Arabidopsis thaliana: one gene and its partner. The protein of the gene in region 2 interacts with the protein of the main gene of each other region in a pairwise test. Each region holds a gene or a part of one and is shown on either strand. Other genes may lie near its edges. The genes, in order: PSF1 and PSF2.

The links.
Region 1: the proteins of PSF2 (region 2) and PSF1 interact in a two-hybrid assay, tested with the Arabidopsis thaliana proteins (one large-scale study listed by BioGRID).

Annotation. Positions count from the first base shown.
Region 1 is NC_003070.9:30,149,517-30,161,734, forward strand, and holds PSF1 (partner of SLD five 1), read left to right. Parts: upstream 1-9,524; 5' UTR 9,525-9,959; coding exon 9,960-10,034; exon of another isoform or gene 10,035-10,283; coding exon 10,284-10,351; intron 10,352-10,443; coding exon 10,444-10,557; intron 10,558-10,640; coding exon 10,641-10,812; intron 10,813-10,913; coding exon 10,914-11,108; 3' UTR 11,109-11,547; downstream 11,548-12,218. Other genes in the region: AT1G80150 (Tetratricopeptide repeat (TPR)-like superfamily protein), read left to right, coding at 1-415; GLYI7 (Lactoylglutathione lyase / glyoxalase I family protein), read left to right, coding at 1,462-1,739, 1,841-1,946, 2,172-2,414; AT1G80165 (cotton fiber protein), read right to left, coding at 2,770-2,985; AT1G80170 (Pectin lyase-like superfamily protein), read right to left, coding at 4,130-4,414, 4,493-4,609, 4,693-4,801, 4,867-4,948, 5,024-5,231, 5,307-5,327, 5,416-5,586, 5,696-5,827 and 1 more; AT1G80180 (uncharacterized protein), read right to left, coding at 7,541-7,957.
Region 2 is NC_003074.8:3,968,445-3,981,234, forward strand, and holds PSF2 (PSF2), read right to left. Parts: upstream 5,997-12,790; 5' UTR 5,723-5,996; intron 5,453-5,722; 5' UTR 5,421-5,452; coding exon 5,373-5,420; intron 5,294-5,372; coding exon 5,219-5,293; intron 5,130-5,218; coding exon 5,015-5,129; intron 4,915-5,014; coding exon 4,815-4,914; intron 4,725-4,814; coding exon 4,694-4,724; intron 4,610-4,693; coding exon 4,520-4,609; intron 4,421-4,519; coding exon 4,268-4,420; intron 4,181-4,267; coding exon 4,160-4,180; 3' UTR 3,736-4,159; downstream 1-3,735. Other genes in the region: SULTR4;2 (sulfate transporter 4;2), read right to left, coding at 42-130, 218-356, 452-503, 661-777, 888-929, 1,059-1,186, 1,327-1,387, 1,527-1,592 and 7 more; AT3G12540 (ternary complex factor MIP1 leucine-zipper protein (Protein of unknown function, DUF547)), read left to right, coding at 6,501-6,614, 6,715-6,918, 6,994-7,721, 7,808-7,907, 7,981-8,040, 8,117-8,203, 8,280-8,387, 8,486-8,803; AT3G12545 (Bifunctional inhibitor/lipid-transfer protein/seed storage 2S albumin superfamily protein), read right to left, coding at 9,106-9,377, 9,751-9,988; FDM3 (XH/XS domain-containing protein), read left to right, coding at 10,225-10,600, 10,714-11,253, 11,382-11,563, 11,646-11,735, 11,815-12,102, 12,294-12,503, 12,698-12,790.

The DNA of each region.
Region 1 (12,218 bases), on a different chromosome or scaffold from region 2:
GAGACGAGCTTGGGATGCAAATGATCTGTTGCTGTTGATGCCTAAACTCCAGGTGGAACCGGACAGCATAACATATAACATGGTTATCAAAGGGTTTTTCCTTGCGAGGTTCCCTGACATGGCGGAAAGAGTTTATACAGCGATGCATGGTAAGGGGTACAAACCCAATTTGAAGATATACCAGACGATGATTCACTATTTGTGCAAGGCAGGAAATTTTGATTTGGCTTATACAATGTGCAAGGATTGTATGAGAAAGAAGTGGTACCCAAACTTGGACACAGTTGAGATGTTGCTCAAAGGGCTTGTGAAAAAGGGGCAGCTTGATCAGGCTAAGTCGATCATGGAGTTAGTTCACAGAAGAGTACCTCCTTTCAGGTCAAAACAGTTGCTCTCCCTTAAGTCCATTTTGTAATGTTTACATGAAATGGAACAAATTTGCTACATGTACACGACAATGCGGCCAAAAGAATTCTTTCTTTCTTTCTCCTGAGTTTATTTTGTATAGCTGTGGTGGAACTGGAAATGGGATGTAGCCTCATATTAGGAGGCACACTTATCTTCCAATCAGATTCAACTATTTGTTGTTCAATGTGAATAAAGCTTAGGATGATTTGGAAACTTCAATGGAGGGATACCCAGTAAGTCATGGATGCCTCTACAATCTTAAGTTGTGATAGCACAGAACTAGTTTACCTTTTGTAATGCTACTTACAAAACATGTTGTTGATTTCAGCTGGAGAGCAAAATGGCATACACAAAGCAGGGACCATGTGCTGAAGAAACCAAAAGGATCTTCGTCTGACGATGCAAAAGCTCTTGAGCACCTGGAAAAATGAGTTATGTTGTAAGCTTCATCTAGCCAAATTAAAAGCACTAAACATATAACAAAGGATATCAACGTTGATAGCTTTTTCTTGATATAGCACGAATGTAAACAACAGAGAATAGAACAGAGACAACATTACCAGCAATGAATATTTTTATTATTATGTCGAATAAATACATTTTCCCACAAGTGACAGAGCAAACAAAATTCACATATTTTTGTCTATTACACTTTGGTGTCAGACTGACTTGTTACGTAGATTTATGGCGGTGGATTATAACATTGTAACTTTAAATATCTTTTAACGTAAGAAACAAAACTCCAAAATTGGTGTTTATTTTTAAAAATAAAAATTTGAGGGGGCATGTATGTTTGTTTAGTTGATTCACGTGTTCTTTGTGTCTGAAAATTCTGAATTTGATGATTTTGAAAAAGGAAAAAAAGATACGAGGTATCCTCAATTCCAAAAGGATGAATGATACAACTCATATATACAAGATTATAGTAAAAAGAAGGGATGCATATAAAGAAACATAGACATCATCGCCATCCATCCTCAGATCAGTTCCGTAGTTTACTGGATCACGACACACACACATATACACGTGTACATATAAGCCATTCTTATCAAAATGACCACCTTCCTCCTGAATTCTCATTCATTATATAGGCGTATATTTCGGAATTCTAAGTTTTGTTGCTACGATCGAGCCAGCGTTCTGTTTCTGTACGTCTCTCTGGGTAAGAAAGAAAAAATGAAGGACGAAACGGGAAACCCTCTGCATATCAAGTCTTTGAATCACATCTCTCTTCTCTGTCGATCCGTCGAGGAATCCATTAGCTTTTACCAAAACGTTTTAGGGTTCCTCCCTATTCGCAGACCTGACTCTTTTGATTTCGATGGCGCGTGGTACATATATACATACTTACCTACATGGAGATATTATATATATATTTCTCTTTAAGAATTGTTAAATTTCGTAATTATATACTTATTTTGTGTGATTATAGGTTGTTTGGACATGGAATTGGGATTCATCTTCTTCAATCTCCTGAACCTGAGAAATTACTCAAGAAAACAGAGATTAATCCCAAGGATAATCACATTTCTTTCCAGGTACCCTTTTTTTTTTTACTTTATCATTTTGACCCCACACCTTTTTAAATGCCTCCTCGCTAACCCCTTTGTTTAAATTGGAGCTCAATAAACTCCTTTTAATTGTGATTTGTGAGACCAAATGATGGAAGTTTTAGCTTTTCAGAGGGTATTAGGCAGCCAAATGTGTTGTTTATTAGTAGTACAGAAATATATTTGATAGAAGAATGTGTGTGTTGAATGCAGTGCGAAAGCATGGAAGCAGTGGAGAAGAAGCTCAAGGAGATGGAGATAGAGTATGTGAGAGCAGTGGTTGAAGAAGGTGGCATCCAAGTGGACCAACTCTTCTTCCACGACCCTGATGCCTTCATGATCGAGATATGCAACTGCGATAGCCTCCCCGTTATCCCTCTCGCTGGAGAAATGGCTCGTTCATGCTCTCGACTTAATATCCGCCAGCTCGTTCAGCCAACTCAGATCCACCCCTAGTTCTCTCTGTCTTCCCTAATTTCTGTTTTCGTAAATAATTTCAAGTGTCCATGTGATTGTCTCTTTGATTGCGTGTGAATATAATTGCATGTAATAAACAGCTAGTGGTAAGTTGATGTGATTCCTCAACCGGGAAAATGACCATTTGCTTCACACTCTAGTCTCTCTCTACCATTATTTGAGATACCAAACTCTCTCTCTCTTTTGTTGTTATGCTTCTAAAACATGTGGTTATATGATAGTAAGAAACCTTATAATACAATTGAAATCGCCTAAGAAGCTTAGAGAGATAAGTAACATATGTTATCTGAAACACGTGACATGAGACATCTATTTTTTCTGTAAGTGGAATATATCAGAGAGCTCCTCTAGGGAGGATGTTATCGCACTGAAGAGAAAGTTGTCGCCGGAAGTTTTGGATGAAAGCTTCGGCGCATTTGTCGACATCATGAATCTTAGGCTTGCTCTCTAGATGACGACTACCATTTGTAAGGGTTGTCACCGATTTTCTCTTCTCTGTTATGACTTTGGAGTTGGTACTGTGCACAGAAAGTGGTTGTAAGGAACTCATTTTCCTGATCTTTTTATGTGTGTTTTGGGATAGTTGGATGGTGGTGAGAGTTCTGATTTTAAGGGCTGTGTATTTATAGGATTGTTTGTATGCCTAAGTCTTTTTTATCCCTACGGAAGCAACTCTTGAATTATTGAAAGGAATAGATAACTAACTAATAAGAATGTTGAATTTAAACGTTTAGATAAAATATCGCTTATATTATTAGTAAACCATATCCTTTCAACACTTATCCACTTAAATCTAAACCCAGTAAGTATCAGCATTTAATTAAACCAAATATCTTGCAACTTCTGCTTTTGTGATATTCTCTAGATCATATTTATATATACGTTTCTATTTAAATAAGGAAACGAAGCATCAAATCTAAAGGTTCTCTTTGCAAAAGGGAAGGCTTACATGAAATCTAACCTAACAAGTGGAATTGATTACTCTTAGTCATAAGGCTACAAGTAGAACCTAACGACTAGAAGATAAGCCACCGAATCCGAAACTCATCATCGTCCACCGCCGTCGTTTTCCTAGCTCCGATGACTTATTTATTCTCTTAAATAACAGATATACACAGAATGGGCCGTTTTTCATATTCATCTTTGTTTCGATATATTTATGAATGGGCTATTTTGACCCAATAATTAGCCCTTTAACGTTCAAAAGGCCCATACATATTCCGAGATTATTCGTTTTAGTATGTGGCTATTACAGATGTACCCCTTCTATTTTTTGTTTATAAATCATTGCACGTGTTTTGAATATTTTTCGTAATTACATGTGTTCCCCTATATTTTGGCTCATTACATAAATTTCTCATAGTTTTGATTATGCATTAATACTAAGATTGTTTCAGCTATTTTCTCTAAGTTTTTTTGGTTACTGATCCAAAGGTTTGACTTGATTTTTCTCAAAACGAGTTTTCTCTTGTCATAAATTATATAATCTTCCCAACAACCGTGAGAGAGCTCTACATCCATCGTATGGCTCAAAAGGTAATCTTGTGAGCTGGAAATGATTGAGTGCAATAAGAGAGAAACTCAATGATAAGGGATGGACTGGTGAACTGAATTTGCCAAAACATGACTATATCATAAAAGCATTTGGCGTGTGCACAAAAACGTGGCAAGATTTTCAATCTGAAAACATGAATTCAAAGGTATGCAGATGTGATCCCGGACTGAACCGACTGTTCTAAGAAGCTTGTGTCATCTGAAAGACAAGGAGGAGGGTACACTTGACCCGAACTAGAACCATAAGCTTCCCAACAGAAAGACTCTGTGAAACCATCACCGTTTGATGGTTCAAGATCAATGTCTTGTAGAAGTATGTTGCGACATGGTGAACTATCGCTGCAAGAGATCTTGATTGCTTCCTTTGATGCTGAGGTGCCCCTCACGTGAACAAATGAGATGTTCTCAATGCTAATAGCTGATGTCTGCAGTTTTTGAGTTTTAGACAATTTTTCAGGTTCAATATTGAGCTACAAAAGAAAGATTTGGCACAAGTTCTTTACCTGATTCGCACACGGCTTCCTAGAATCGCAGTAATACTGATCGATGATGATGGGGTTTGACACATTGTTCATCTTGATGTTCCTAAAGATAATTTTTGAGACCAAACCACTCCCTCCCTGGTTGAAAGAAAGAGGATGCAAGCAAGTTAAGTTCTTTTCATCTCAGAACGTAAATGGGAACTTTGATAAGATGGAATCACCTGCCATGTTTTGATCCGAACACCATTCGCAGTGTCAGAGATGATGGCCGTATCAACTGTTATGTCTCTAACTTCTTCCCAAGATTTTGATTTTCCTAGGCTTCCAATGCTACAACAACAATTTTATATTAGATTATGCTTAGTCTGTTTCTTATCTGTCTTGGCTTTGGTTACCTTATGCCATGGCCAGGACCACATATAATGTTGCTGATGGAGATCTGTGTAGAGTTTTTAACTATCGAAATGCAGTCATCTCCTATACAAGAAAAACAGATCCGATTAATCAGCAAAGAGCAAATATTAGATTCAAGTTCTGGTTAAGTACACTGACCTGTGCTGACAGTAGTGTTGTCTATAACGATACCACGAGAGACGCTTATGTGAATTCCATCAGTATTGGGACTAGTAGCAGGAGCTATGACCTTTAAACCAGAGATGGTCACACGGCGACAGCTGGTTAAGGCAATGTGCATTTGTTGACTATCAATCACATTGAGGTTCTCAACTCTCATATTCTTGCACTTGTGGAATGTTAAGGCCTACAAAACCAACATAGTCTTACTTTAATAGAGAGTAACCACACCACCAATAAAGGAAATCAATTGGATGCTTACCGTTGGAGCACCTCGACAAGGCTGCAAAAGAAATGGTTGAAAGAAAAGTGAGAATTCCCTTTTACTCTCTGAAGATAACATGTTGAGAAAGAAAAAAGAGGCAACTAACGTTGGAATGATTGTGTTTGCAAGATCTTTCCCACCATTCTTGCCCCATCCCGTTAACAGTGCCGCCTCCTTCAACAGTTAAGCGGCTCAAACCATGGAAATATAGCCATTTTCGGCGGTTAAGACCTTCCCAAACATCTGGATCATTGGGAGCAATGATTGTACCAGAGATCTAATGGCCAAAAAAGAGAGCAGAAAGCAATGAAGACAACAGAACAAAGACAACAATCTGAAAATATCCACAAAGATTCTAAATACCCCTGTGGAAGGGAAGGTTTAACCTGGAGTGTGAGTCTTGCTTTACAAGGTCCAGAAAGATCAATAGGCCGAAGGAGACAAGTGTAATTTTCAGGCACCAAGATTCTGGTTTTGACTTTGGAAGAACAAGCTGTCTTCCAAGCATCTGCAAACGCCTGCGTTCCATTATCACCCGACACAAATTATATAAGTATCTACCGTTGCTGTCTGATTTCCTAAATCCTACCCATAGATTCAAGATTTCACAGTGAAAAGAGGTTTCTCGAGGGTTTAGCGAATCGTTACTTTAGTGTCGTCGGTGACGCCATTGCCTTTGGCACCAAAATTGCCAACGTGGAGGAGCCGTTCGGATCTGGGTCGGGTCGAGCGCGACTGTCTCCGCGGGAGCTGGAGGAGCGATTCGAACGAATTCGCGTTTGCGGTCAAAGCGAGTGAGGAGGCTACGACTAGTAGTAACAAAAGAGTGACAAGAGTACCGCCGCGTGAATAACTCATAATTTAGATTTTTAATTTTTAGGAACCGAATGGATTTATAGACATTAAACTCAAGATACTATAATTAGGCTTATGTATGATTTTAGAATAAACAAATGAATATAGATAGAGTCTATTTATAATCAGAATTACAACAGATCTAGATTCCCTCCTCTCTACCTTGAGAGTGAGATTTAGTTTTCCTGATTGTAGTGATTATGGTGAAATGACGTTATGTTTAGCCACAAAGAAAAATGGCAAGATAGTTTCTAGTTTTCAGGGGATTTAGTAATGACATTCTTTGAAAATTTTCCATACATTATTGATTGATTAATGTAGGTGATCAATCATATAATCAAACAGAAAATTGCAAGATGAAATAAATGTATGTGTTTTGACCCAAAAAAAAAAAAAAAAAAGAAATAAATGTATGTGATAAACCCTTTTATCACTAATTTAGAAATAAAAAAAAAGTTTGATGGTTATGGGCTAAAGCCCAGATAATCAGGGTATTATATGTTGCACTAAACTAAGCCCATATGATTACGCCCAATAAAACTTTTACAATGGATGGACTATGTAAACCTTCCAACTTTCAAGAAACATTCTCATACTGGTATATGATCACTATATCTATATCTCACACCTCACGCAAACTAGTAGTTATTTACGTATCAAACAAATAAATTAAGTGTTTATTATTGGTTGCAAAATATGTGTATAGTTTTATTTTTCACTTTTTTTTTTGCAAAGGCTCCAACTTTTTGGAAAAAAAAATAGCAGTGGATGGGTGGGAACTGTGGTGCCATGCTTGATTTGGACATAACACAGAAGCGAGTCCGTGAGGGATTTGTATCGGCTGATGAAAAATTAAAATATATTTAATCAGAAATTAGAGATGAGAAAATGGCATTGGTCCTTTATCCTAGGAATGAAGAATCTGATGTTGTTGCAACTAATTTGTCAGAATGTCAGGCTCAGGTCCACTTTAGCCGCCGCAGTCAGCTGCCCAGTTTTGAATTCATTAAGATTATCAAATTTAATTACTCGATGGATTAATCATAGGAGACGAAGAAGATTGTTGATCCTCTGCTTTAATCTTACTTGGAAATATTTGGAATTCTCTCGGGAAAGAAAGAGAGATAGAATAAAACAAGAATATACATGAAAATCTAAGATCAGTCTGCAACAAAAACAAAACAAATATAAACATATATATAGTCTCTGAGTTTAAACAGTTTTAACATTAAAGCACAAACAAAAAAACACAAACAAAAACAGAAAGAAAAAGATTCATAAGAAGCAGTATAAGTATATATACTCTCTTTTTGTTTTGTTTTGTTTTCTCATCTTTGTGTGTGTTCTTCTTCTTTACTTTAGACTTTAGTTCATGCCTATCTGGATCTACGCTTCGCTGGCCTTTTCCTCTGATTAACCTTCTTCCCCGGCTGTTTCTTCCCGAAGGCAGAGCAGCACCCAAACGCCGACAGTCTCGGCGACGGCGGGTCCACCGCCGGAGACACTCTCCCTGTGTTTCGATGGTGGCGGATGGCTCCTCCTCCGTTGGATCGACTCCTCTCCATACCTCCGTCAGTTCTGATAGGTTTGAGTCCTTCTCCGGCGATAGGTTTGGTTGTCTGATCCTGTACTTCCGACGTAATCAGCTTGGCCTGTTCGTCCTGTTGTAGAGTCTCGCCTTTCCGGTCGTTGGCCGCTTGTTGGCTTAGCTCGGCGATGAGACGATCGTCCCAGACTATACCCGAAGAGCCCTGTCGACGGAAAGAGATGGTGGATCTCTGAAGACCCGCCATGGACGGCGCTAACTGTTCCTCCTCCGTTTTTTTCTTCTTCTTTTACTCTGTTTTCGTCGTTTTTGATGTGTGTTGCTAAAAGTGGTTCATCATTGTGTTTCAGACTAGTTCATTTCTTCCTCCTCTTTCTTATCTCTTTATTAGAAGGCACTTGTGTCTTTTCTAATTAATTTTCTTTTGTCGTCTTATTATTTCAATTTTATATGTTTTTTTTCTTCTGGTTCTCGAATTATCCAACCAAATATAATCGCGATTATCATGTTTAGATGCGTAATCATTGTATTTTATTTGTTACGTATTTTAAACGGGAGAGAAAAAACTGGGTCAAAGCAGCGGGTAATTATGGGAGTAGAATAGTACAAACAACGTTTTTGGGTGGTATGTGTTGAAATTTCAATTATCTTTTTTTTTAACATTAAATTTAGCTATAGCCACTTAATTATCTGCCAAAAATGATTATTTTTCTTTTCACGTTTCAGGCAAAGATCATCGCATAGCATATAGTTTTATCAACCATAATCCAGCATGGCTTAATTTTTTTTAATATTTCTTAAGGAAATCAAGCGTTGGTGACTCGTCGTTGTTCATGCTTGATTTGGTTAGTTCAAAGTTGAAACTTACAAGTATTAGTAGATGACTGATTCATCGAGTTTTAAAATAATAATCACGCAAAACTCGAACCTAATATTTCCTGAAATATAATGGCTCAACTTTGAGAGGTGTGGATTATTTTATTTTGTAAGATATCTTGCTATATGGCTTGCTGGACCATCCCATTTGTGTAATGTGGAGACAATCCATTCATGTGCTACTTTTTTCATATGGACAACAAAATTTGCGTGTTCATATCGTAATTAATCCCCAATTAAATCTACATCGCAAATCTAATATACCCATGCATTTCAAATCTCGCTACAATTATGGAAGTCCTTGAGTTGATTATTGAAGCAGCTAAAACGTAAGCATGCGAAGAAAACGGCATTTAGCTTTAAAAATTTGATGATTGTCAGAAAGAGAAAGCAAATAATTGGAAAAATAAGAGCGTCTTATCCGTAAGTGTAGATTTGATGGAACACCAAATATTTTCTATCAATTTTTTTTGGTGATGGTTATTTTGGCAAAACCAACATGATCAACGGGTTTTTTTTTTGTTAATTGTTAGCCATCTAAAGATATAGTGCATATAAACAAAACAAAATAATAAGAATAAAAGAAAGTGACACAATGTCAATCGCATCAGTACCAGTCAAATGGATCATCCTTATCCTCAGACCCAAAAGATTTACTTACATTAGGGAGTAGTATTCGGATACATGTACACGCATATAACTTCCAAATGTTGAAAGATGTATAAAAACATGTTAGACATTTACCAGTGACTTAAAAAAATATAAGTGATTTATGGTAGTATATATCACACTATATTATGAGTCATGACACTCAAATTCAAAATCCGTTTAGTACAAAAGGTTACAAGTCTAGAATCGATTTTTGTAATTTTTTTAGTATATATGACATTGGTTTGACTGTGTTACAAAGTCAAAGTAAAATCCCAAAAAAAGAAAGAGGAATATTTTGGTTCTGAGAAAAGACATAAAAAAAACAATAGAGAAACCTTGTAAAATCCCGCCAAAATTTTCACAGAACCCCTAAAAAAGTTTGAGTGTTGCCGCCATCCATAGATTTATTCCACCATCTTCATCTCTGGAAATCCTTCGCCGCCGCGAGAATTGACATTGTTTTGATTGCATATAAATCTCCGCAACAGTATGGTACGTTTTGTTTAGATCTACGGTTTTGTTATCATCCGTTAATTCGGCGACATCAGCAACGATTTGCTTCATCCACAAACCGAATAGGTTCGGTTTAAACATAAGCCTGGGATTTGAGTCAATTATTTGCATTTGCCTACTTTTTTCAATTTTCTGGGCACGCCAGATGTTTGATGAATTGCTCGAATAGATAGATGTCAAAGTGAAGCGAGGAGACCCGCCGATTCGACATGTACGGGAGAAAAGGGTATCAGCTTATCAAAGATTTTGCCACCGGAGAGAAGGGTCAGCTCAAACCTTTCAACGTAAGACTTCAAGCTCCCACCTTTATGACACTAAATCTCTCAATTTATACAGGCTATTGAAATTTTTGAGTATCTGTAATCTAACGTATATCAATCTTGCAAGTTTGGCCAGTAGGTTTTGATTATAGGTGACGGAATGTTAGCAAATTTCCAGTCCTGGGTTGATAATATCCAATTCTGTAATTAGAAAGTATTATCTTGGTTAGCTATGAGGTAGATTAGTTCTTTAACCTCTTGTATTTCTAACAGAGCAAACTCTTTGATGAAACAATCGAAGAGTGTGACCAGAATCACCATCTTATCCAGTCCTTGATAAGGTATTGATCCCCTTTTTTACACTGTTGCATTTTTTCAATCCATCACAAAAGACTTACTTCTGATTCATTGAGGTTGATGTTTCCATTTACAGGAAAATGCAACAAGAAGGTTTGGATGTTCAGAACAACAGAAACGCTGACCACTATGGAGCACTAATTCACCACCTTGCTTTGATCCGGAACAAGCGCTGCCTCATGGCTTATGTGTGAGAACCACGTTTCCTATCAGTAACACTATATCTGGACACTCAATTTCTTAAAAATAGCTGCAATTGGTGTCGCTATGCAGGTACAACCGAGCAGAAATTGTGCGTGATTTGGCATGGAGAGTAGGGCTTGAACTTCTCGACCTTCCCTCTGAAATCCAAGAGAAGCTCACTACACTAGAGAAGGAATACTTCAAAAACCATTCGGTTGCTCTAAAATCATACATGGGAAAAGTAGGAATCGAGTTGAATGTCGTAAGTCCTCTTTCCACCACCCTGGCTTTTATTAATTAATTGGATTTTTCTTGTTTGGTGGACTTGTAACTAGTAATCTCCTCTTGATCCATTTCTTGAAGGATATGGTCCCTCCTAAAGATCCTTATATCAAGGTCAGAATTTTGGATGATATTGATGAAGGAATCGTGCTGAGTGACAAAACAACAAATTTTGCCCGTCATTCTATGCATTTCCTCAAACGTACTGATGCGGAACCATACATTGCTCGGGTCAGTCTTTTTCGTTATTCCTTCCCTAAAACTAGAATGATCTAAAGCCCATAAACTTCCACGAACTGAGAAATTCAAAGAATGAGCCTTGCTCAAATTCGCAGAGATGTAGATAGAACCTTGATTACAGCCTTCCCTAGCAGGTTTAATAGGAAAAAAGAAGACTGCTTAAGATAGATTATAACTGAAAAAACGAAACTATAGAATTCCTGAAAGATCTGAATAGTGATGCAAATAGAAGTTTTAGGTTTAGAATATGCGTGAAGTGTAATCTGAAGAATTGACTTTTGTCACATTTCTTGGTACCGTCAAGATTACATAAGGTCGAAACATTTCATAAACTGTGAGTGTATTGGATTCTTTGGTTTTCCATGTGATGTTTGTCATAGTATGCCAAAGGAGTTGCTAAGCAAATGCAGTCTGATTCTACTGCCTAGCTTAAAAGGGGTCTCGTGTCCCATCATTTGGATAAAGAGTTTCTAATTGTTGAGATGTGAATGGGATAACAGGGCCAAATGGAGGAGCTGACAGGATGATTGATCTAATCAGAAGCTGTGGTGGGCTCAGATGAATCACGGTCGGGTCTGTGATCAAAGAATGTAAGCTTACTTAGCCTTGTATAATTGTAAGACAGGAACATGAAACCAGAAACCTCATACTCAAACTCATGTAACAATTATTTATCTTACAAAGTTACTTCTGTAGTGCATAACATTCACTAGCAATAATGCAGTTTTGACAAGCTCAAAATTACCTTTTTTCCAATGGACAATCTTTCAAGGCTTCAATACTCAGTCTTTTTGTTACTTGCTGGCTTTTCACTATAGAAGTGAACCTGCAGCTAAAAAGATAAGAATCTGCCACAAATGCTGCAGAAAAATGAGAATATGTCATCTACAAAACATACCTCAAGATTAGCTTGTAAGATCTGAATAGTGATGAGGCATTTACTCGAACGATGATCATTGTCACATCTCTGATTAATGTAAACGATAAACGGATTTTTGATGTTTCCATATAGTTTGATATTGTCTCTTTCCTTAGGCGTTTTCAAAACCATAAACATAGGTGAATGTTATTTACAATGTCTCTATAGTTATGATTAATTTGAGTTGCTACTCATCTTGTTTCTGAAAGGAGGAATTCTTGCATCTT
Region 2 (12,790 bases):
TGTAAGTTTCGAACTGTGAATAGAAGAAACATTGGACTTACGAGACATTTCCAGGATAACAAAGTAGATCCTCTCCATATCTGGGCCCTTGCTTGTGTGTTTGTCGATAGCAACTTCATATTCTCGTAGCCTGCAATTTCGAAACATGGTGTTGTTGTGTTGATTCTTTATGTGGATCATAACAGAAAGCAAGTCAGGAACCAAATGTCAATTTCACCTGTCCTTGATGTAGCTTATGTTGGCAAAATAAATGGGAGCATCGATTCGAACAATCACAATCCCGTTGTAAGTGTATGCCTCTGGATACTGTTTCATGTTTCTGTACACAGTGGTCCCTGGAAGACGCCCCAAGACAGCTGCCAAAACATATGTAATGGTATGTGATCAAGGATATGAGTGAAAACCATTTCTGAGAAACAAAACAAGCAAATTGAACAGAAACTTATCTCACCTATATGAGGGTTTGCAGACTCGTGTATAACAAATGCAAGTGAAAAACCAACCTGAAAAATTCCAAGCATTACAACTCTGTGAGTCCTTTAAAAGCGTTGCACAATTCATGTAGGTGGTTATACTACTTTCAACATCATCACTCCTTTTAATTTCAAAGAGATATGATCAGCTACAGAAATAAAGCTGAGTGAGTATGAGCATACTCACACCAATGAGGACCCCAATCTCTATTCCAAAGAACAAAGTGGTGGTGCTAGTGATGGTCCAAAGAGTAAAATCTCTCTTGTCCACACGCCACAGAAAGATTGCCCCTTCATAGTCCACCTAATATGGTAAACATCCAGAAAGAATAAATGTGAATATATATTGCTCAATAACCAAAGACAATAAGTACACACCCCAGATTCTTTTCTGGTGGGTTTATTTGAACTTACCAAACCACTAACAGCAGAGATAACTATTGCTGCTAAAGCACACTGCGTAGTTGAGAAACAGACAGGAATTAGAAGCCAGATTTCAGTTTTAAAATTCTCCAGAGTTTCAGACTAAAAAATAAAAACAAGAGAGCACAGGACTGGAATTAGAAATACTCAACACAGACCTACCTGTGGTATAAATTTGAACATTGGGGTCAAGAACAGTAGAGAACATCCAATGATGATTCCTGTTACAAGGCCTGATAGACCAGTCTTGGCTTCACTTTCGCTATTCACAGCTGACCTAGAAAAGGATCCTATGACACATTTAGGGAATTAACAGATACATCAAATTCAGGCTACAACTTAGAAAATATTATCACCTTTTGTTTTGAATTTATCATAGAAAACACACATTACATGTTGTCTACTAATCTCAACAGTCAAGATTACGTACCTGTAGTTGGATATGCAGAGAATAGTGACCCAAATATATTTGCAACGCCAAGACCAAACAACTGCCAAGTCACGGGAAAAACAGACAGAACTCTCAATGACCATAAGATGTAGCCATTAAAAGAACAAGTTACAACATTTAATGGTAAGAATTGGGCTAGCCGCTTGCACTTGATTTTCTTTATTCTCTAGGGTTTATACCTCTGAATTTGAATCCAATTCGTATCTATTTTTCGCGGCTAGTGCTTTCGCAATACCTACAGATTCCTGGATAAGTCGAACTAGCATATCAGAAAACACAAAAACATGCGCATACTGCAGCTGAAACTAATCAAGAAACTCCACTTCTGCTTCTCAGGAAGTCAAATTACTCCATGTCTCAGCCATATCCATCCATTTACAGATTCTCATGATTAGGTTCAGCTGCAACTCACGTAAGTCCAGGAAAAAGTTAATGACAATGATGTCTCACCAAGATGGCAACACCAGTAATGAGAGCCGATGTTGGAAGCAGTAATTTGGCATGATCAAAACTTTTTGGGAAAGAAAACTTTGGAAGTCCCTGAGGTATATCTCCCACCTGAGAAATCCTAAAAACTTTGCAATCAATTACGGAAAACACTCACAAAAAATGTAGCTTCAATAGGGAAAAATATAAGAATTTCATTCTTTAGCAATCTGACCAGTGTGATGGAAGGTGGATGGAACACTTTTGCAATGATTGTACCAAGAGCAAGACCTGTGAGCGGTCCTGCTGCTCGTATGAACCGAAGTTCCTTCTTTGCTTTTCCCTGCCGCAGAAAATGATGCCTTAGCATAATAAAAGTAAGGGAACATAAGAAGTATCCTAATGACACACTGAAGAACAAGGCTCATACCACATGCTTCATTACTAAAAGGATCACCAGAATGGTACATCCCAACAAGAAAGGTGGCCACTTAAACTACAAAACAGAAATTCAGATGAAGTTATACAAGTAAGGCATAGAAGGTATGTTGAACCAAAAGGAATTGCAACACCATTAAGAATCTGAAGACCAGACCTGATCAGCTCCAGCTATTATGCTATCAATTACTGGCATAATCTTGCTGCTCCGAGAAACGCTATACCCTAGGAAGTATTTCAGTTGGGATAACCCAATTACAACAGCTGAAGCAGTTGTAAATCCAGAAATGACTGAGTGACTTATGAAACGAATAAGCCATCCAAGCCTGGGTTGAAAAAACAAACGAACAACTTGTTCTAACACTACAAAAAATACAGGATTCCTTGCACAAACAAAGAGAAGACTATAAATACCTCAAGAACCCCATAATGCTCTCAAATATTCCGACCATAAGAGCCAACAAAATGGCAAGCTCAGTGTATAATTCTTCAGATGGATCAACAATTCCACTCAAGGCATTAGAAACGAGAAGGGAAACTAATGCTACAGGTCCAACTGCAAGCTGACGGGATGAACCGAAGACGGCATACACGAATACCGGCACAAATGAGGAGTCTGCACCAAACAAGATTAATAACTACATGCAAAAGTGGGAATAGCTTAGTATCTCTCACACACATTGATGAATTCATAAAAGGGTATATTCATATTGAGCTCACATAGACCGTATATTGGTTGAAGCCCAGCTAACCTTGCATACGACATTGCCTGCTCAAATCCATCAAAACAGAAGTTTTTAGAAACTAAACTCACTTAAACAAGAAGAACAAACATACTCATTAGAGTTCCTGTGATTCACTTAAGCTTATCTCTAGATGGTATAAATTCAGGGAAGATAGAATCAACAATCAATCGGAAATGAAGAAACAGAAAATGACCTGGGGAACAAGCATGATACCGACGGTGATACCAGCCATAAGATCGAGCTTAAAGTACTGATGCCACCGGTAAGTCCGAATCCAAAGGAAGCAAGGAAATATTGCATCAATCCAGTCGAAGAACGTCATGCGCTTGATCTTCGCCGTCCATCGGGAGAAGAAATCATTAAAGGGAATGGAGTGACAGTGAGGATCAGAAGAGGTGGAATCGGGATACTGGAGAGGAATGATCTTGACCGGAATCGCCTTAGATGAAGAGGATGAAGCGGTGGAGAGATCCTTGACGGCGAGGGACATCGGAATTGGTGGGATAGAGAAGAATGTGATCAACGTGAAGAAAGACGTATCACTGATTGTAGCATGAAGAAACAGAGCATAGCGTAGTGCCAGTTTGGGATGGATAAGGACGATATGGCAGCTACATTCATAACTTTATCTTGATCATTAATCATATCATTGCGTGTCTTAATTAATCAGTATGTTTCGTTGATTACTGTTAAGTATAAGCCTTGACTTGAACAGTACCATCTCTAAATATCCTGTCATGATTCAGGTTCATCATTCTTTCAGTTTTAAAATTCAATCATTTTTCATACTTAGATTGTCACATTAAACTAGCTGGTTTATGAGTTCGTATGTTTCAACCTTTTGTGCTCTCCAGTAAATTGTGTATCACATAAAAAAAAAACACTGAGCTCATTTTGCAGAAGTGTTTGATCGATTTCAGCCCACATACTTGAAATGAAAACATATGGGATCCTTCGTGTGACCATTTCACCCATAAAACTCGTTTGCCATCTTAATATTTCTGTTCATTAAAGTGAACTTTTCGTCACAACATAAAAGATGCTAATATCAAAGGAGTATGTACCACAATGCAGGAGAAACAAGTCATATATTAACGATACCGATACATGCTGCTGGTGTTCTAACTTCTCAGGGAGTTCGACCAACGTTGGCACAGAAGATACCTGACTTCTACTCACTTAGGCAAGGGCGTGGAAGCTACCTAGCGTTGCCTTAGAGGTCTCTGCAAAACATGTGTTGAGGTTTGTATTTGTCTTAAAAAAAAAGGGGGAAAAATCGAGTGAGAAGTGTGAAGACTGAAGAGCCTTACCCTTGGTTCATTGTTGGTTTCACGCTGTTGTCTACTACTTCTGGTGTCTCTGTCTACATCAGCCTCTGGCTTGTCATGCTTATAAAATGCTTCTAAGGCTCTTATCACAAATGGGCGTACTATGTTTACTTCCATTGCCGATACATTAGAGATCTACATTCTCAAATTAGAGATATTGTTATTGTTAAAAATCACTCTTTAGAGGTAATGAGAAAAAGCTAATGTCAAGAAGTAGCAATAAAAAACAATTACCTTTACTGCAGATGTACCTTGAAATGATCCTAAGTTAGTCTCAAGTTTGTGAAGCCGTACATCTCTGATGTCCTCGACTAGGGATCTCACCTATACAAAATTCATAAACGGCTATAAAAGCTTAATTCGAACACATAGTTAGGATGGGAGACAAATTAAGATGTATGAAATTACCATATACATGTCTGGAATATCGTCACGTGCACTGCCAAAAGTGAGATCGATACTCATCAGCACTCTTGGATGTTATAAATGTAAGGGCGAGCAAAGAAACAAGAAGAGTCTAAGAACCTACTGGTCAAAAAGTAGTCTGGCAATCTCCACGTAACTAAATGGTAATGCCTGGAATGTCGACTGAGATTCACGTTCTGCTTCCAAGATCTGAGTCAAATTATCTAGTTCACAAACAAAGAAGCAACAAGAAACAGTTAACACTTAAGCACCTAATGTTCGTTAACATTTGAAATTTATCTGCTAAATTTGAAATTGTCTTACCAACAGACATCCACCCCGGAGGCCGGAAAGTGCATTTTCCTCTCCTCTTCAGTGCCACTGCAAGCCACAGAGGCACCTTTGTCGGAATCTGAGGAATGAACCGACCGAAATCGCCCTGTCATTGATTAACATATTAATCACATGGTTAACAAAATAGGTTACAAGGGAAATGATTACAGGATTGTATAAAACAAGAGAGATTACACTGATGAAATTGAGTTGCTCCATGTTCATATTAGGAACAATCTCGACCAGCTCGTCCTCTGCCATAAACTCAACCTGGTATGAATATAGCTAATCAATTAAACTATTGCAGACAGAACATGAAACGCATACAAGTAAAGAGGAGAATAAAGACCTCTTGTGGAGAAAACAGTGAAATATGAGGATCAGTCTGGCCAGCCATTGATGTATCTCAAGAAATCTCAGTTTCCAGACCTAAATGCAAGCGTGATAAAAATTATACTTGGTAGAGACATTTAATCAAACACTTTATCTACACTCTACAGAAAGTTCCTCCTTATTTTTTTAGCACATATCAACTTCCAATTTCAGCAACATCATGAAACAGCAAACCTTTAAAAGCATCTGATGATCAAATCTAACAATCAAATTTCGCAAATTCTGAGGACATACTTGTAAACGAAACGCCGGATATAGTAAGAGAGAATCATTTGTTCCTGATTAGTGATATGAAGTTGAGTTTACCTGGTTAGATTTTGTGTGATTCCTGGAAGATCAGATCGATCTCTTCCGATATTCTACACACGGACAGTAAATGAAGTTCCCCTACGCCCGAAACTCCCGAAGATTGAAATATCAGTAACCACTGTGATCGAAGAGAAGGAAATGGATGTAGCTTAGCAAACCCAGGAAAGAAAAAACGAAGATAAAGGAGGAGAAGAAGAAGAAGAAGAGCAAAATAGGGAGAGACACAGCAGAGAGTTTCGACTTTCCGATTGTGGCTCTCTACGATGGCGGGAAATCCGATGATAGTGTAGCGGGAAACTAAAATAACTCCAATAGGTTTCGGTTAGACCGGTATTTAATTCAACCGAACTCAAACCGAAACCGGAATTTTAAACGAAATCAATTTTATTCTAACTGATAGCACTTTGTTTATAAAGACTAGTCGAAAAAACAAACAAATCGAATCACACCACCACTAATTATATTTAGTCAACCAGAGATGGTAAAGCAATGTTGTGCTGTAGAATAAGGTAAGGTTTTAGTTTTATTAAAAAAAATCATCTCTAACCAGAATAAAACTCTTTTGTGTTCATGGCTTTCACGTCATGACGACTTTCTCCTAATCTTTTTTTAAAAAGACCCAAACCAATAGGTGAATCAACAACATAAGACTTGATTGCAGGCACGACTGTTATTTATCACCTAATCATATCTTCACAGCTACATTAGTTTGTTTTTGTAATATGGTTCACCAAATTTGATTCTAGTTTCTCTCGACTCTCCAAAGAACACGAAAATGAAACTGGAAGACTTACTTGTGGAAGACGAAACCAAAGATCAACCTGGCGCTAGCGTTGCGTCTCTTCTTGATCATCATCGTCGTCACCCCCAGCCTTCCCTTCAACAACAAGTAAGTCAAACTCGTATTTATAATCCTATCATATTAATTTGGAATCCCAACAATGACATATGGAAACCTAAGTTATATCATATTATCGGTTTTGTTGCAGCCATCAAAAGTGAATGAGCATAAGAGCGAAGAAGAGAAGAATGATTTGATCAAGAAGAAGCAAAAGCGAAGTCTTCAAAGAGAAGTGATGAAAATGCAAGGAGAGCTAGAGGACGAACAAGCCTTAAACAAGGCTCTACGTGATATGCATCGTGGTCCCGTCATGTCTCAGCCTCGTCTCTCTTTATTGCTTCTTCCTCCTCAGGTAAGTCACATTAGACTCACAGTTCCGAGATTGAAATGAAATAAAATGGAACTTATTGATTTTGAGTTTGTATAGGTTCAAGAGCTAATAGAGGAGCTTGCGACGGTTGAGGCAGAGATACTCTGTCTTGAGAAACGAATCCAAGACTTGAAACTTGATGTGTATAGTGAGAAAAAAGAGAACAAAGAACTTGAAGACAGTATTGATGAAGGAGAAGAAGAGAGGATGATGAACCCTAAGAGACTACTACAAAGGCAGAATCATCTTCCTTGCGACGCTGACAATGACCTTATAAAGATGAGATCTGAGGATCTAAAACAGAGATCAAAGTCCCAGAGTTATGGAGATCATCATGTTGTCAAGGATATTCAAATGAACAGTCCACGTACTCATGCGTCAATTGGATCAACCATGGAGTTCTCATCAAGAATCCATTCTTCGACTTTTTCTGATGGAATGTCAAGAACACAAGAGAAGAATAATGTGCAAGAGACGACACCAAATGGAGTATCGGAAGATCTGGTGAAGTGCTTGATGGGAATCTATCTGGAACTCAACAGGTCATCGCGTGAGCGAGAAGGGTCAAAAACTGTTTCAAAGCTGAGCCTCACACACCTCAAGAACGCTTCTTTCAAACGCAAATCGGTGTATGACCATAACGCATCTAATCTTGATCCATATGGAGCTGTCATGGGGACTTCTCTTAGAGACATAGGAGAATACAAGAACTTCATCCATATCACTCGAACCTCCATTGATGTTAGCCGTTTATCCGATTGCTCCACTTCTCTTGTCAATTTGAGGTACTTACAAATTCAGATTTCCTTCTTATTTACCTGATGAGATCACAAGAATTTCATGATCTCTGTATAATTAAACACACATGCAGGGTTTTGAAGGAGAAGTTGAGCAAAGTGGATTTGAGTTTCTTGAACCACAAGAAAAAGATGGCATTCTGGATCAATACCTACAACGCCTGCGTTATGAATGTAATTCCATGACTCAATTCATATTTAGTTGAAGCAAAGTCAAGATTTCGGAAATAACTTTGTTTGTTTGCAGGGATTTTTGGAACACGGACTACCTTCATCAAAGGAAAAACTGCTGACCATTCTCAAAATGGTAACTAATACAAAACAAGAAACATCTTTAAACTTCGCATACTTAAGTTAATGAACAAAATTGACTTGTGTTGTAGGCAACAATTGACGTGGGAGGTACACAACTGTCTGCTCTAGATATCGAAGGATCCATCTTGCAGAGTCCATGCGAACCTAGGGAATCTGTAAGTACTCATATATATCATCCTGTGAAGTTGTAATAACTGATCTTTAAAATGTTTCTTTTATCCGAATAAAAAGGTTTCAGCCGGTGAAAGCGAAGTGAGAATACAGACACGCTACGGATTCAGATGCGTAGAGCCAAACCTAATGTTCGTGCTTTGTCGTGGAGATTGGTCTTCACCTGCAGTAAGTTCACTCAATTTCTTCAAATATGATAAGTGTTGCTTCAACGGTAGTAACTAACAAAGCATCTTTGTTCATGATCACCTATATACATGATACAGTTGAGAGTTTATACAGCAGAAGATGTGGTGAACGAACTAATCAAAGCAAGAACAGAGTATCTAGAAGCTTCCATCGGTGTCTCGGGAAGGAAAAAGATTGTGATTCCGCGATTCTTGCATAAACGTCTACGGGATTTCGCTGAGGATGAAGGCTCGTTAATTGAATGGATATGCAGCCAATTACCACCAGCCCAACGTTGCTTTCAGCTCAAGGAAACAGCGATGGAGGGGTTGAACAAGAAAAGTGAATCTCAATTGAAAAAACTGATAGAAGTGAGGTCTCACGAATACGAGTTTCGTTATCTCTTGGCATTGTAAAATCTAATCCTTCAAATTTCTAGTATTTGGAGCCTTGAAAAGACGATTGTCCTATATATGTGTGTGTGTTTTAAGAGAATGAAGTTACACAGTGAATTTTGATTAATAATGGAAACAAACAAAATAGTAACTACAAAGTGTACAATACATTCATATTGTGATACATATAAAAGTGCTTCATTTAACTATATAAAACCTTGATTTAAATCTAGATTGGATTCAAATCAGTAGATTACAAATCCCGATCAAAATAATTAAGTATGCTATATTATTGTTGTAAATGTATAATCTGTAGATATTAACTAACACTTAGGATGAGGAACACGACAAGCAATTAGAAGTCTGGGCAAGAGCACAGGGTTCTTGATAAAATACTTGCAGGCACATGGTTGTGGCTTTACCATTCTTCCACAACAGTAACTCGGCAATTTGGTGCCTTTATCAATGGCAACTAAACAATTTGCAATCTCATGCATGCATCTGCCCATCATCTCATCACCATTAACTTTGATCGGAGCCGCCGACAAGAGTATGACGACGAAGGCAATGAGCATCAATGGAACAATCTTCATGTCTAATTATTTTAGTAACTAGTGAACAAAAAGATAAATAATTTTGCAGAAAATTAAACTGGTTCATGCCTTCTTTGTTTTGTTCTAGGTAAATTTTAAATAGGAATTGGAAGCACTGCTTGAACAATTGACTTTTTCAGAAGTCACCCATCATAAAAGCCTTTCCTAAACCGAACCGAATAATCACAATTTTTTATCTCCGGTTAACAAATTCTTTCTCGCGACGACTTCAACGCGCGACAATGGCGCGTGTAAGACAAACAGAGGTTTCTTGGAATATCTCTCCAAGTACTTTTGCTGCTTCTCTATCAAAATGGGAACAAACTTAGAAAAAACCAAAAGAAATCGAAATTACTTGGAAACAAAACATCTGACGATCTCCAGACTCAGCTGAAGTTTCGAGCTGAATCTCTTCTTCTCTACACGCGATTTCTCTGGTACAGTTCTTAAACGTCTGCTTTGCTTTGACATTCATCGTTTCTCTCCCAATTTGCTTCTTGGTTTTGGGGATGCGCGTTTTGATGCCGACTTTTTTCTTCAGTTTTGAAATTTCGTAAGACATTAGACCCCAATTATTCATAATTTTTTCAGAAATCAGACATGCATGTTTCATACAACATAGAGAGTGTGTTAAGTAGAGGAGTCAACATTTTTTCCGGATCTATCTAATCAAGCTGAATCATAGACTTACTATTCAGAATGTTTCATACTCACTTTGTCTTAGATCCAAGTATGTAAGGTTTCAAGTGTTTTTTGTTTCCTGTGGAGATAATGATGGCTAAATTCATTTACTTACAATGTAGTTAGATTATGCAGCTCGTAGATGTAAAACAATAACGCGAGGCGGTGATGAACAACAAATTGAGTGATTTTGAGAAAAATCTGTACAAAAAACTCAAGAGTGGAAAGCTCGAGGTGAAAGTCTCATACCGGACTTTCCTGTGTCCTTATTGTCCCGATAATAAGAAGAAGGTTGGTTTGTATGTTGACATTCTTCAGCATGCTTCTGGAGTTGGTAATAGCCAATCCAAGAAAAGAAGTTTGACTGAGAAGGCTAGTCACCGTGCTCTTGCCAAATACCTTATTAAAGATCTTGCTCATTACGCTACTTCTACTATATCTAAGCGCTTAAAAGCCAGAACATCATTCATTCCTGCTGAAACCGGCGATGCTCCTATAATTTATGATGATGCTCAGTTCGAGAAACTTGTGTGGCCTTGGAAAGGTAATGATGATGACGCATACTCCTATGTCATTACAAGTATCGTAGTATTAGCACTATTTGGATTTATAGCCTCTCTACTAACCGAAGTTGTATCTGTGGTGTGGCTGGGATAGGAGTTTTGGTTAATATTCCCACGACGAGTACAGAAGATGGTCGGTCTTGTACTGGAGAGAGTGGACCAAAACTTAAGGATGAATTAATCCGAAGAGGATTCAACCCAATTAGAGTTCGTACTGTGTGGGACCGTTTCGGTCATTCGGGAACCGGAATAGTGGAATTTAACAGAGACTGGAATGGACTTCAAGATGCTTTGGTGTTTAAGAAGGCTTATGAAGGAGATGGGCATGGGAAAAAGGATTGGCTTTGTGGTGCTACTGACTCGAGCCTTTATGCATGGCTTGCCAATGCTGATGATTACTACAGGGCTAACATTTTAGGAGAAAACTTGCGGAAGATGGGTGACCTCAAAAGTATTTATAGGTTTGCAGAAGAAGAGGCAAGGAAAGACCAAAAGCTTTTGCAGCGTCTGAACTTTATGGTTGAGAACAAACAATATCGGTTGAAGAAATTACAGATAAAATATTCACAGGATTCAGTTAAACTTAAGTATGAGACTGAAGAAAAAGAAAAGATTCTCCGTGCTTACAGTGAAGGTGAGATTTGTCCTTCTAGTTTCAAGATTCATATCCCCTTAGAAAAAGTATTGTTGCATCACCCAGCTATACATATTTCTGTAGATTGTGTTTATATCCGCGTTACATTTTCCGTTTTGCATCTGAAGATCTGACAGGAAGACAACAAAAATCGACTGATCATTTCAATAGGATCTTTGCTGATCATGAAAAGCAAAAGGTGCAGCTGGAGTCTCAGATAAAGGAACTTGAAATTAGAAAGTTGGAGTTGGCAAAACGTGAGGCAGAGAATGAAACGCAGAGGAAAATAGTGGCAAAAGAACTTGAACAGGTATATGCTAACAAGCTCATTTCTTAAACTGATTTCTGGATTGCCTCTTTCGTCTTCTAAAATTCAATGACATTATTTTCAGAATGCTGCTATAAATAGTTATGTTCAACTATCTGCCTTGGAACAACAAAAGACCAGAGAGAAAGCGCAAAGATTGGCTGTAGATCACAAGGTCTGGGAATGCTTCCTTCTTTAAAAAGGTTGGCTCTTTAACTTTATGTGACAGGGTCCTACCGTGTTTTTAACCTTAGATGCAAAAGGAAAAGCTTCATAAGAGAATTGCTGCACTAGAAAGGCAGCTTGATCAGAAGCAGGAGCTTGAACTGGAGGTCCAGCAACTGAAAAGTCAGCTGAGCGTGATGAGACTCGTGGAATTGGACAGTGGTTCTGAAATTGTGAACAAGGTGGAGACCTTCCTCAGAGACCTTAGTGAGACAGAAGGAGAGCTTGCACACTTAAATCAATTCAATCAAGATCTTGTTGTTCAAGAGCGGAAGAGCAATGATGAACTTCAAGAAGCTCGAAGAGCATTGATAAGCGTACGTATATTCAAACAATTTTCTTTGAACTTTCGTCTCATAGAGGAGCTAGGTGACTCTTTGCATGTACTGAGTGATAAACTCGAATATAACTGACATGGTAGGCTAGAGTGGTTGGATGCATTAACAACAGAAAAGACACTACTTGAATTTTCCTCTAATTTTTTTCTTAACTTTGATTGCATGTATAGAATTTGAGAGACATGGGATTGCATATTGGTGTTAAGAGAATGGGGGAGCTTGACACCAAACCGTTTATGAAAGCAATGAGAATAAAGTACTGTCAAGAAGATCTAGAGGATTGGGCAGTTGAAGTTATCCAGCTTTGGGAGGAATATCTTAAGGACCCAGATTGGCATCCTTTTAAACGGATAAAGCTTGAGACTGCAGAAACAATAGTGGTATTCCTTCTCCTGTATATCACTAATTCAATGTTTTTTATTTCTCATCCTAAATAATATGTTTCGTAAGTGTTACTAGCAGAAGACCTCCATTCAAGTGCATGCGTACAACTACCAGCTGCATATGCAGATTTGTTTATGCATGTTATGGTGTTTGATATGTAGAACCCTGAAGCTGTTGATATCTATGTCAGGAAGTAATTGATGAGGATGACGAGAAGTTAAGAACCCTGAAGAATGAACTGGGGGATGATGCGTACCAAGCAGTGGCAAATGCATTGCTGGAG